Callithrix jacchus: one gene and its partners. The protein of the gene in region 2 purifies or fractionates together with the protein of the main gene of each other region. This does not show direct contact. Links are inferred from orthologs where the notes say so. Each region holds a gene or a part of one and is shown on either strand. Other genes may lie near its edges.

Region 1 (3,999 bases), on a different chromosome or scaffold from region 2:
CTGACTTTCTGCAGAGCTGCCAAATTAGCTGGAGCAACTGCTTGTGCCCAGGTCACAGGTGTGCAGAACAGCCAGGCAGAGCCAGACCAGGCCAGACCACCAGCTGGGCAGCTCCTGTGGCACCATCCTGGATAGAAGTCCCAAGTGGGGTGCACACGACTTGTCCCAGCACCTGTGCCAGGTCCAGGGGCCACAAGGCTTCCTCCTTGGCAGGGAATAGGACCCTCGGGCCCACCTTGGATAGCCTGCGCTACTTTACGGATTTTCTCAGCTGATCTTCACAAGCACCTTTTGAGGGGAATCCAGTGAGCACAAGTGACTTGCCGAGGGTCACACAGCAGGAAAGGCATGGCTGACACTGGCCGATGCCCTGTCCCTCTTGGTCCTCAGCACTGGGTAGCTCTCCCTTCCCAGACTCCCCGTGGGTCCATGGCTGAGCTATCTGGCCTGTGGGCTGTTAGCAGTGGGCAGAAATGACAAGGGTCACTTCCGCCCTGGCCCTGAAAACCTTCACGAGGTCTTCTGGGCTGCCTCTCTTCCTGCAGTGCCAGCCAGACACAGAGCACCCAGTGGGGGCTGCCAAAGCAGCAAGCTATGCCAGCCACTGTACCTCTCTGTGCCCCAGCCCCGCCTTCCCCACTGCACATTAGCAATATGCTTTCAGTGTATAGAGATTCACGGGACTTTTTATAGCAGCCAATCTGCTCTAATGCAGCAGGGTCAGAAACGGAGCCTAAACCCAAGCCCTGTGACTCCACCCAGATGGTGGGGGCGCCCTCCACACCGCTTCACCAGGAAACGATGGAGGAGACCTGGTGCCTGTCTTCTTGCAATGTTCTCCCACTGTCTCCTCCATGGCTGCGGGGGGCACACACCCCTTCCTGTCACCTCCACGACACTGCCCCCAGTCCTCAGTCTCTCTCCTCCTGGGCTCCTTCATACTCAGGGCTGGTTAAACAATTTGGGTATTGCCAGCCCTTTTCTTTTTCACTCCATTCAGTGGCCATATCTCTGCCCTCTGGGTCCTTTGCAGGAGGAAAAACAAAGGAAAGAATGGTCCAGGCCCCAAATGCAGGTCAGAGACAGGGTGCCAACTCTGGGCTAAACAGCTTTGGCCCGGGGAACTGGCACAGGTTTTTGGGCAAAACCACACTCAAACCCAGCATCACCTCCTCCGGGCAGCACTCCTGCCTCCCCAGTGCCTGGCACAAAGCTTGGTCAGGTACTTCACAAATGTCTGCTGAATGAATGAGTGAACATGTTTGTTGAGCACAGTGAGTGAAGCCACGATTGGCTATGTCCAAGCTACAGTGGCTGGCAAAGCCTGCTGCCCTCCCTCCAAAGGCACCTGGAAAGGCTGGAGGACCCAATCCATGGCCATGCCCTGGTCTTCCCCTTCTACCCAGGACCTCCCAGAGAGTCGTGGAAAGTGTGTGCCCTGGTGGCCTGGGTCCTGCCCCATCAGACAGGAGCTGCTTCCCCTCCCTGACCCCTGTAGCGGTGATGGTGGCCCAGGGCAGAAACAGGAACTCACAATGCCATTCTGCACACTGAAGCCCAGCTGGTACTTGAGGTCTGGTCGCTTGATGAGGACTGTGGTGACCGGGGGACAGCTGACGATGTTGAGCTTCACCTGCGTCTGGTTCTTCAGGCCCTGCAGAGCACGGGGACAGGAGTCACAGGCTGGGCCTCAGACGTCAAGCCCGACCCAAGAGGAGTGAGGCTGGCAGGGTGGAGGCCGGGGCGGTGAGAACACACTCTGGGCGAGACACACAGTCCCCTCTCAGCCTCAGTGGCCCCTCTCTGCGGGGGGCGGGGGTGGTGGTGGGGGTGGCGAGCCCTGCCCTGGCCCTTAGGAGGGCTGCCAGGTTTCCAGGGTGACATTGTGCGCCCTCTGTCCCACCATGCTCAGGGTGCCTCTGCCCTGAGGAAGATGAGCTGCTGTGGGAGCAAGGCCAGGCTCTGAGTGCCAGTGGGCACAACCAACACACCTGGCACCAGGTCACCCTCAGGGTGCTCAGGCGGGCCATGATCATCCACATTCAGGAGATCTTCCTACATTAGGATGTGGGACACTTTCCTCAAAGCCCCGTGCCTTCCAAGGACGGACCTGCAGGGCAGGGGGTGACCACAAGAAACTGTGAGTGAGGACGAAACTATCAGTGGGTGCCCCAGGCTGCTGGGGTCCGGAGGGGGTGAGGAGGCACAGGGAGGAGAGGAGCCCAAGCCTCCACCTGGGAGTTCTAGCCCTCGGCAGGTGGTGCTTGGCGCTGAGCCCTCTGATGCCGCTGGCAGAGGCCTCTCCCGTGCCTCTGTGTGGCTGCCCATCAGGCAGAAGCTCTGCCAGGCCAGCTCTGAGAGCCGGTCCATGGGATGCTCTGGCCTAGGGAATGCCCTTCCATCTCTCAGTCTGAACAGAGAGGAGGAAGGCGTTTCCTCCAGCACCAAGACCACAGCAGGGTAGGGAGGAACATGCCTCCCTACCTTCAGGGCTGGGGGTCAGGCCATGGTGGCTCACAGGAGCTGCCAGCAGCAGGCAGAGCCCACTCCTCTGTGGGCAGCCAGTGAAAGCCCCACCCCACCTGCCAGTGACCCTTCTGCCTGACCCCTCACAGCAACAGGCGGTCAGCCCCCAAAGCTGCAAGCTCGTGAGTCTGATAATCAGGGTGGCCTTCTTACTTAAGGAAACCTGTGTCCCGGCACTCAACCCAAGAGCACTGAAGGGACTTTCAGTGATAATCTAGGGAAGTCCCAGGCAGAACAGGATAAGCTGGTCACCCCAAACTCACTGGTCCTTGGGTCCCTGCCCAGGGCCATATGGCTCAGCAGAGGGCTCAGACAAGCCCTCCCTTCCTGCCCCGGGGCCGCCTGGGTCCACCTCTGATTCAGACATGGAGAATGGTCTTGAGTTCAAATTTTGATGCTATCATCAACCATTCACTGGGTGGGTCTCCCTGGGCCTCAGTTTCCCCATGAGTGAAGTGGGGGTTTGCAGATCAAGTGAGGTGAGGCTGAGGCAACCCCTGGGCAGAGGGTCCCAGGGCACCCACCTTGATGATGCCTTGGCAGGTGGCGAGGGGCAGCCCCACCAGGCTGGTGCCATTGATGGACATGATCTGGTCCCCGATGCTCAGCTTCCCTGAGCGGGCGGCTGGGCCGCCATTCATCATGTTGGCCAGGATCACCGTGGGCAGGATGGAGCCCCAGCCTGACTCCACCACCACAACGCCCAGGATCTCGCCCTTGTGCTTCTCCAGCTGCAGCTGCAAAGGGATCGGCAGTATGAGGGGCTGGCAGCGGGGCCAGGGCCTCTGCCAAGGACCCATGGGAGGACAAGGCTGACCCTGTCCCAGCACATCCCACCCTGCCCTGGGATCCAAGGCCGGCTCATCTCAGCCAGGAGAGGTCTTGGGCTGGGAGCCCTGCCCACCCACCTCCAGCCTCACCCCACTCTGGCTCCCACACCCTCCTGGGAACCTGGAAGTACGGACCCCATCCCCACCATGCCCAGCACTGACCGTCCTGCCCCAAGCAGGGCTCCAGTGTCCTGGCTCCTGCTCCTCCCATCCCACCATACCCACGAGGCCAGAGGAACGTTATGACTCCAGCACCCATGTCTTGCCCCCGCCTCCCGCCTTCACTCTTGTTGGAAAAGTCCTTCTACAGGAACTGGCTGGCATGCCTTCAGCAAGAAGCCCGGATCATGCATTCACTCATTCAACAAGCAGCAGAGGCCGTCATCCACTCATCCACAGCAGACAGAATCATTCAGCCGTTCAACAAACAGTTAAGCTATGGGCCATCCTCAGGGTATTTGCTCCTCTGTCCCATAAGAACTTTCCAAAGACACCTAGGGGAAGCCACTGGGACCAACTACACCTCTGCTGCTGGCAGCTTCCAGCCTCCCCTGCTAGAGCACCCACGCTCCCTTAGAGATCCCACATGCCTTTCAGAACTATCTCCTGGGTGCTGAGCACTAGCTGATGATAATAGCAGCAT
Region 2 (4,657 bases):
CTTGCTACCCAGGCTGGAGTGCAATGGCACGATCTCGGCTCACCGCAACCTCCGCCTCTTGGGATCAGGCAATTTTCCTGCCTCAGCCTCCTGAGTAGCTGGGATTACAGGCATGCACCACCATGCCCAGCTAATTTTTTGTATTTTTAGTAGTGACGGGGTTTCACCATGTTGACCAGGAGGGTCTCAATCTCTTGACCTCGTGATCCACAAGCCTCGGCCTCCCAAACTGCTAGGATTACAGGCGCGAGCCACCGCCTCCCGCCCACTCTTTTTTTTTTTTTTTTTTAAGACAAAGTCTTGCTCTGTCACCCAGGCTGGAGTGCAGTGGCACAGTCTTGACTCACTGCAACCTCCACCTCCCAGGTTCAAGAAATTCTCCTGCCTCAGCCTCCCAAGTAGGTGGGATTACAGGCGCCTGCCAGCATGCCCAGCAAATTTTTATATTTTTAGTAGAGGCAGGGTTTCACCATGTTGGCCAGGCTGGTCTTGAACTCATGCCCTCAGGTGATCCACCCTCCTCAGCCTCCCAAAGTGCTGGGATTACAGGCAGGAGCCACTGCATCTGGCTCTACTCAATGTTGAGAACCATAGCTACAATTAAAGTGAAATTTGGGAATCTCTATAAAATACTCAAGACGCAATTTATATTAGAAAATCTATCATTTTCTCCAGCAGTCTGTACGTAATCTAATATTAACATTATTAAAGGTAGCTAGAGTATGAACAGGAGTTCATGTCGTACTGCCTTACAGCAGTAAAAAACTTCAGATATTAGTTGAAATGATCATCTCTTAAGCCCAAATAAAGTGTCTCCACAAATTGTAAATTTTACATAGGAAATTCACTTATATTTCAAAATGAAATTGTTTTTAGAAGCATTTCGTATAATTCCAAGACATTTTCTTACTTGAAACCTGGAAAAAAAAAATGCAACCAAATAACTGATGTGTAAATGTCTTTATTCTTAAGACAAGAATCTTGAAGTACTGTAACTGCACCAAGAAAAACTTAGAGAAAGCAAATTACAAATGACTCAAGTAGTCAACACATCTTTCACACAAGATTTCTGTAGGTTTCGGGTAAGGAAGACCCTCAAAGCTGAAATGTATGCTGTTTAAGTAACCGAAGTAATTAAATAATGACTAACAAATGTAGGTGCTATTTAAGAAAGCACCGATTTTAACAAGCAATGTTATCACTGACTAAATATATTTAAACTGTTCCCAAAATACCCAATCCAAGCACATATTTTTGAAATGTGTGGGTTTTCCCCAAGAGAAGCAAAACTTTGACATTTCTCTTGGATATATTAGACTTTCAGACCTCCAACCCACATCTGGAAAGAACATTTCAAACTTAACTTGATGTTACTTTTTAAACTCAAATGGCCAACAATGAGATACTTAGTAACAGATCTGAACAAGACAGAGTCAACAGAATGTTTAGAAATGAAATAAAAGTAGTATTCAAAGTTTATCATCTTCGATGTGGAGAAAGAAGCATGGAACAAAAGATGCATTTGCCGCCTCTGCCCTGTAATTCGTGAACACCATACTTCTCTCCTTATGTCTCGCCAGGGAAGCGAAAATAAGAATTTTGTAAAAGCTTGCTAAATTCAAATATGACCATTTCATCTAGATTTCTATCGATCCTCCCCAAAATTTCTTTTCATTAAAAAAAAAAAATCAAAACAACAGATTAAAACCTACAGCAGATTCTACAGACTACACCTAGATCACTTTGCTCTAACGCCAAGGAAAATGTTTACGATTTCAAGATCCACTCAGAAGCAAATACTGTATCTGCAATGCGTAAGCTTTTCGTTGGCAAGACCAGTCAATATCAGAGAGCATGCAAGGTTTTAAAGGTTAAGTGGATGAAGGTTAAAAGCTAATAATAAACTACCCAAGAAATATTACTTTCCCCCGAGCCATAAAATGATTTCGGTCCTACAATCCTAAAGAACCAGAGGGGTTTCTCGTTTCCGTAGAGGACATCTAACCCTCCATGGTCTAAACGACGGACAGAAAAACTGCACCAAGGCACCAGGGGTAGCAGAGACGGAGATTTCTAACACTGGGTGAGCCCGCGGTCACAAATCTCAACACGATTTCACCTTTGGGTGAAAAGGTGGGAGGGAAGCAGTAAGTTTCAGCCTCGGCTCCACTGGAAACAGACAACGTCTAAAGGACCCTGGAAGGAGGCGGAAAGCGGCGAAGTCGTGGTGTCCGCGGTGCAGCAGCAGAGAATCAGGATCTTGGAAACGGGATGCGGAGGAGTGGGCTCTTATGTAAGCACACACCAAAACTGTGCGTGTACCCCCCGCCTGATGCACATCTGAGCACAGCGCAGACGTACACACAGCCTCTCACCAGGGGTGCAGCCCCAGCTGCGGGCGCCGCAGAGCAGGGCGGACTGACCCTTCGGCCCGTCTCCACGTCCCTTCAAATCAGTGAAGCCATCACCATGGGCTGCAGTGGGGGCTGCCCAGGCCCAGGTGCCCCGCCCGAGACCCAGCCTGGCTTCGCCGGGGCGCCCCCAGCGCGTGCCCACAATCTCCTGCGCCCGGCCCCGCGCGCCCGACCCCCAACCTGAACCCCACTCTCCGACCCGACTCCCTGTGGTCGGACCCGACACCCCGCATCCCGGCTGGAATCCCAGCATCTGGCCCGACTCCCGCACCCGGACCAGAATCCCCGCACCCATACCCGAATCCTGCACTGGCCCGGCCCCGGGGCTTACCTCGCCCGGCCCAGACCCCGCCGCCGCACAGCAGCCCGACCAGCAGCAACCGGGCGGCCGGGGCCAGCGCGGGCGCGGGGCGGCGCAGCATCGCCGGCCCGGGGCGGGAGCGGCAGGGAGGCGCGCGGGACGCCCAGCGGGGCTCTCGGGGCTCTCAAGACTCTCGGGGCCCAGGGTCGGCTGCTCTGTGGCGCGGCGAGCTCCGGGGTCCGAGGAGGAGCCGCCGCCGCCGCCGTGACGCTGGGCCGCGCGCTCGGGTCGCGCCGCCCTCCCCGCCTCGGAGAAGCGCCTTGCTGGAGGCAGCGGCAGCAACTAAGATGGCGGCGGCGCTCTCTCTCGGGTCCGGCAAGGGTACCCGGCCGGGGGCGGGGTGGCGGCGGGAGGGGCGGGGATGGGGAGCGACGCTAGGCGCGCGCGCGATGGACCCCGGGAGCGCGCGGGCCCGGGAAGGGCGGGAGAGGAGGGAACGCGCGCGGCGGAGCCGGGAACGAGCGCGCGCCTCCGAGCCCGTCGGCCCCGTCTGGAGCGCGCACCCGCGGGCACGCGCCTGGGGTGAGTTCCAAGCGGCCGGGAGGGGCCCGCGGTGGGGCCCGGGGGTCGGCACCCCTTTCCCCGGCCGCCGCCCGAGAGCCTCATCTCCGCATCCCCGCGCTCACTCCCGGGCTCCTGAGGCCAGGCGAGCGGTACCCTGGGGCCGCGCCTCCTCCTCCACACCGAGGACTCATCCTTCCCACTCTCTCCCCCAGGAGCGCAGACCGCGGCTGGCGAGTGCGGCCCAGGGCCCGAGTCACTTCGGGCAGGTCGTGTGGCCTCCCAGAACCTCGGGGTCCTCTTCTGCCCAGTAAGGGGATGAGAGGGGTCGCGAAAGGGGGTCCAGGAGACGAGGCCAGCGAACTGCGCCTGGCAAACAGTCAAGGGCCGCGCAGCACGAGCCGCCCCGGCTCCTGCCCTGGATCCTGCCCCCAGAGAATCTGTCCAGAATTCACTGAAGAAATCTTTGTGACTTTCCAAAGGCGGCTGTTATGTGCGCTCTTTCTCAGTGACATACTGTGATGCTGGTTCTTAGAAATGCGGGGGTCCGTATGGATACAGAGGACAAAGAGGTGGCTCACGCCTGTAATCCCAGCACTTTGGGAGGCTGAGGCAGGCGGATCACCTGAGGTTGGGAGTTCGAGACCAGCCTGGCCAACATGGAGAAACCCCGTCTCTACTAATAATGCAAAAATTAGCCGGGTGTGGCGATGCTTGCCTGTAATCCCAGCTACTTATGAGTCTGAGGCACGAGAATCACTTGAACCCGGAGGCAGAGGTTGCAGTCAGCCGAGATGGTACCACTGCACTCCAGCCTGGGCAACAAGAGTGAAACTCGGTCTCAAAAAAAAAAAAAAAAGAGAGAGAGAGGACAAAGAAGCTCTCCCCATCTACCGTGGATCCCTACAGGGATCTGAGGGTCCTCCCATTTTCCCAGTGTCCTGGGGTCCCCTCCTCCTCCTCTGCAGGACCCCTGGCACTCTCCACAGTGGAGGAAAGGCCTGGAACAGTAGTGGAAGGGCGTGTGTGCCGGCACTGTACCCTATGAGACACTATTGGCTCCATTTTGCAGATGAGGAAACTAAGTCAGAAAGGTGAAATGACTTCCCTCGTTGGGACAACTATTGTGGAAAGAATCAGCCCTCAAGGTCAGGATGTTCACAGTAGATGGACACCAACGGCAAAAAGTTGAACACTAAAATGTTCATTTTTCGAGACTGCTGGAAGAGCTATCCATGAATGTCTTTGCTCTAGGTGGGGGTGGTGGAGACTGGTTTGTGGGGCACAGAGGACTGATTTAGGAGAGTAGTGGGCAAAGAGCCCAAAAACGTAGATTGAGGCCAGATTGTGGGGATGGACTTGATCATACCAACAGGAAGAC
Region 3 (3,999 bases), on a different chromosome or scaffold from region 2:
AGCCCCTTTCACTTTCTTGATGATGTTCTTAGATGCACAAGAGTTTTTTTCAACATGGGTGAAGCCAACAGACCTAGTTTTTATTTTGCTGTTCATGCTTTTGGGGTCATATTCATGCTCTTTTAATTTTTTTTTAATTTTTGAGACAAAGTCTCACTCTGTCACCCAGGCTGGAGTGCAGTGGTGCAATCTCAGCTCATGGCAACCTCTGCCTCCCAGGTTCAAGCAACTCTCCTGCCTTAGCCTCCCGAGTAGCTGGACTACAGGTGTGCAACACTGCACCCGGCTAATTTTTGTATTTTTAGTAGAGATGGTATTTTGCCATGCTAACCAGGCTGGTCTGGAACTCCTGACCTCAGGCAATTTCCCCACCTTGGCCTCCCACAGTGCTGGGATTACGATTTTTTTTTTACTTTTATTTTTTGAGATGGAGTCTCACTCTGGCACCCAGGCTGGAGTTCAGTGGTGCAGTCTCGGCTGCCTGCACCCTCTACCTCCTGGGTTCAAGTGATTCTCCTGTCTCGGCCTTCCACGTAGCTGGGACTACAGGTGCCCATCACAATGCCTAACTTATTTTTGTATTTTTAGTAGAGACAGGGTTTCATCATGTTGGCCAGGATGGTCTCGATCTCCTGACCTCAGGTGATCCATCCACCTCGGCCTCCCAAAGTGCTAGGGTTACAGGTGTGAGCCACTGTGTCCCGCCTCATGCTCTTTTAAACAGTATAACTTTATTTGTTCAAACTAAAATATCTGACATTTTCTATTCTAAATCAAGTTTTCAATAAAAGTCATGTAAATGAGAACCATTAACTCAGAGTTCCCATGGGCTGCTTAAGGACACACGTATGACTGACCTGTTTGCGAGACCTCATGGCAGCTTCTTCTAATGTTTCTGCAGCTTCAAATTTGCCTTGACGTCTATAAAGTGCCCCGAGGTTTTTCAGAGTGGTTGTAACAGTTGGACTGTAAGAAAGCACACGACACAGAACTATTACATATCAGCTTTGGAACAAGCACTACCAATGGCACATAATCTAGAGGACTAAAAGGCTGATGTTTTGGCTTGAATATATTTTAACTCTCTCATACTTTTTTGGAACTATAAAATTCTAAAGAGTTCTTCCATCTCAAGCAGCTCTGCTTCCCATGACCTGGCCCTTCCCGTAAAAGGCCTCCGCAGGCCAGGCTAACACCACACTCCATCCAGGCTGAGGTGGCTCTCACAGACCACTGGCCACTCTGTCAACAGAAATGTGTGGCTAGGTCTGTATGGTAATCAGAACGCTTTCCCTGGAGACAGAGCTTGGTCTGCGCCGGTTCTGCAATGAGGAACGGTGCTTTGACTGTTGCTGCTCACATGCTCCCATCTCCCCACAAGTACGGGGGAGAATAGAGCAAAGCAGAATGTCCCTATCAGTGGGCAGTGAGGGCAGAGAATAAATGCTTCATGTACCAGGGAAGCAATCCATAGCAGATGGCAGAGAGGACAGCTATGTTTCTGTGTTCTCTTATTTTTCAAACTGTATCATTGGGCTTGATGTTTCTGCATTCTTGATGGAGAAGACTTACTAAAAAAAATTATAAATAAATGTAGATTCAGTTTAGCATAGATAAGTACTTTGAGAGATTTCTTTTCCCTTTCTTACAATAGGCATTTTGGATATAGAAATACAGAAGCTATCTTCTATGTCTCTAAAACAATTAATCTATGACAAGTGCTAGGGGAGCCCTGGAGAGGGTTCAGAGAGTTTTCTGAAAAGAGATGAATGGTAGGCTGAGCCTTAAAGGATAAGGAAAGTTAAGGGTGGAAAGACAGCCACTCAGACCCAGGGACAGCAGCCATCACAGAGGCCAGTCTGCACAGGCTCAGGCTCAAGACGCAAGGCTCTCGGGCTGGCTGCAGAGGAGCCTACACTTCCCTTTGCAGAGGACAAGGCTCCAAGGGCCGTGAGGAAAAGGAGTGTGTATGGATCTGTGTCCCCACTGCTGCATGTAACGGGCTGGCTTTCCCAGACCTGCTGGCATGCTTGCCATGAGTTTGCTGTATGGTTTTGCCATTAAATAAAAGTAGAGAGATGGAACCCGACCTCTCGAAGGCAGATTGTGGCTCCACTCTCACCCTGGTAATGAGATGTTGAGCACCAAACTGGTAACCAAGGTTGCGCTTCCAGCTAATTTTCCCACCAGTACCCATCCTGCGGTATTCATTCTCTTTGTCTCACACCCTGCAGAAACCCAGTCGCGGGGGGTATCCCCCTGAAAACTGTACTTGGCCAAATACTGATTTCTTTGGATTAGAGAACTACAACTCCCCGGTCCTGAGCCAGTATTTCCCTTTTGCAGCTGCACAGTAGTTAAAAACAAAGCTGAATGTTCTGGGATGTTCTAGTGTTCCTTGGGTCCCGCTGGCGAGTATGGGCTTTCTGCAGAGCACAACCAGCCTCGTGTGCTTTGGGGACAGTTCACCGCACTTGGAAGGGACTGGCCTGGGCTACATCATCTAAACATCCTTGGATTGATGCAGGTCAGCAGTCTCCACTGGAGAAAAAGATCTTGGATCTGGGTGGTGTGCATACAACAGCAGGAAGACAACTGGTAACTCAGAAATAGCAAGAGGAGTATAAAATGCTCTGTAGGGAGCAAGCTCTTTCTCTTGACTATTAGCTTGCCAAAGCGGAGTTTTATTATAATAAAAGAAGAGTGGAAATGATTAGAAGAGACAGGCAATGAAATCAAGAAAAAAATGGAAAGGAAAACAACCCAAAGCACTGAAGGAACCTGACAGATGAAACACACAGGAAGGCACATACATCAAACAGCACAGGCAAGAGAAGTTAAGAACAAATCATTTGGACAAGTACTATGACTCCCCTAATGAAACAAAATTATCAGAAATCATACAGAAGGGCATGGCATCCAGAACACACAGAGAAGAAAGCAGATAAATGAGAGGGAACAGATGCAAATTAAAGATCACCAGGAACACATGATCTGAGGGAGAGAACTTACAGAGGAAAGACTCAAGGAAAGAATCTTTTTTTTTGAGACGGAGTTTCACTGTTGTTACCCAGGCTGGAGTGCAATGGCGCGATCTCGGCTCACCGCAACCTCCGCCTCCTGGGTTCAGGCAATTCTCCTGCCTCAGCCTCCTGAGTAGCTGGGATTACAGGCACGCGCCACTGTGCCCAGCTAATTTTTTGTATATTTAGTAGAGACGGGGTTTCACATGTTGACCAGGATGGTCTCGATCTCTTGACCTCGTGATCCACCCGCCTCGACCTCCCAAAGTGCTGGGATTACAGGCTTGCGCCACCACGCCCAGCCTTAAAGTGAATATTCTTATAGAAAAGTCTCAGAATGGAGAGAAAGTGAATATAATTATGAAACCGTATCAAAGAAAATTCCTGACCATGGCACCCTTTTTAAGCAATCAGGAAAAATAAGAGTTATAAAGTTTCAGTGCTGTTATGGTAAAATCCTGTCTCTTAAGTGAACCTTTTTAAAATGCTCGTTCTTATCTCTCCCCAGGGTTCAGAGAAGATTCCCATTTATCTTAGATACAGATATATCTGATATACATAAGATAGTTCTGGATTGAAAATTAGCCTAACTATTTTAGCTGACTGGCATTTGCTCAAGTTGCATATCCTTTCTAATGTTCAGTGTCCTCATCTTTAAAGTGGCAGTGATATTTGATAGCATTCTGGAAGGACTATTGTTTTTGTGAAGTGTAGGTATGTATTAGTTGTTTCATAAATGTTAGTTTCCCTACTTGGGAAGACCGGGGTTGGGCAATAGTGGTGAATAAAGAATTGTTCTAAAAAAAAAAATTAAGGGCCAGGCGTGGTGGCTCATGCCTATAATCCCGACACTTTGGGAGGCCAAGGCGGGTGGATCACCTGAGGTCGGAAGTTCACAACCAGCCTGACCAACATGGAGAAACCCCGTCTCCTCTAGTAAAAATACAAAATTTGCCGGGCATGCTGGCACATGCCT

Evidence for each region. The genes of interacting proteins can lie anywhere in the genome.
Region 1: the proteins of CLSTN1 (region 2) and APBA2 purify together in Homo sapiens (affinity purification with western blotting; 3 studies listed by BioGRID and IntAct, with this or other methods). This does not show direct contact. The link is inferred for Callithrix jacchus from reciprocal best matches to the Homo sapiens genes CLSTN1 and APBA2.
Region 3: the proteins of CLSTN1 (region 2) and KLC1 purify together in Homo sapiens (co-immunoprecipitation; 3 studies listed by BioGRID and IntAct, with this or other methods). This does not show direct contact. The link is inferred for Callithrix jacchus from reciprocal best matches to the Homo sapiens genes CLSTN1 and KLC1.

What each region holds. Positions count from the first base shown.
Region 1 is NC_133507.1:7,394,268-7,398,266, reverse strand, and holds part of APBA2 (amyloid-beta A4 precursor protein-binding family A member 2), read right to left. Parts: exon of another isoform or gene 3,264-3,999; coding exon 3,051-3,263; exon of another isoform or gene 1,655-3,050; coding exon 1,535-1,654; exon of another isoform or gene 1,407-1,534; intron 1-1,406. UniProt on the Homo sapiens protein: Putative function in synaptic vesicle exocytosis by binding to STXBP1, an essential component of the synaptic vesicle exocytotic machinery. May modulate processing of the amyloid-beta precursor protein (APP) and hence formation of APP-beta.
Region 2 is NC_133508.1:47,685,465-47,690,121, forward strand, and holds the start of CLSTN1 (calsyntenin-1), read right to left. Parts: upstream 3,068-4,657; 5' UTR 2,837-3,067; coding exon 2,746-2,836; intron 1-2,745. Other genes in the region: uncharacterized protein LOC144576928, read left to right, coding at 3,137-3,297, 3,492-3,798. UniProt on the Homo sapiens protein: Postsynaptic adhesion molecule that binds to presynaptic neurexins to mediate both excitatory and inhibitory synapse formation.
Region 3 is NC_133509.1:138,479,908-138,483,906, reverse strand, and holds part of KLC1 (kinesin light chain 1), read right to left. Parts: intron 967-3,999; coding exon 858-966; intron 1-857. UniProt on the Homo sapiens protein: Kinesin is a microtubule-associated force-producing protein that may play a role in organelle transport. The light chain may function in coupling of cargo to the heavy chain or in the modulation of its ATPase activity.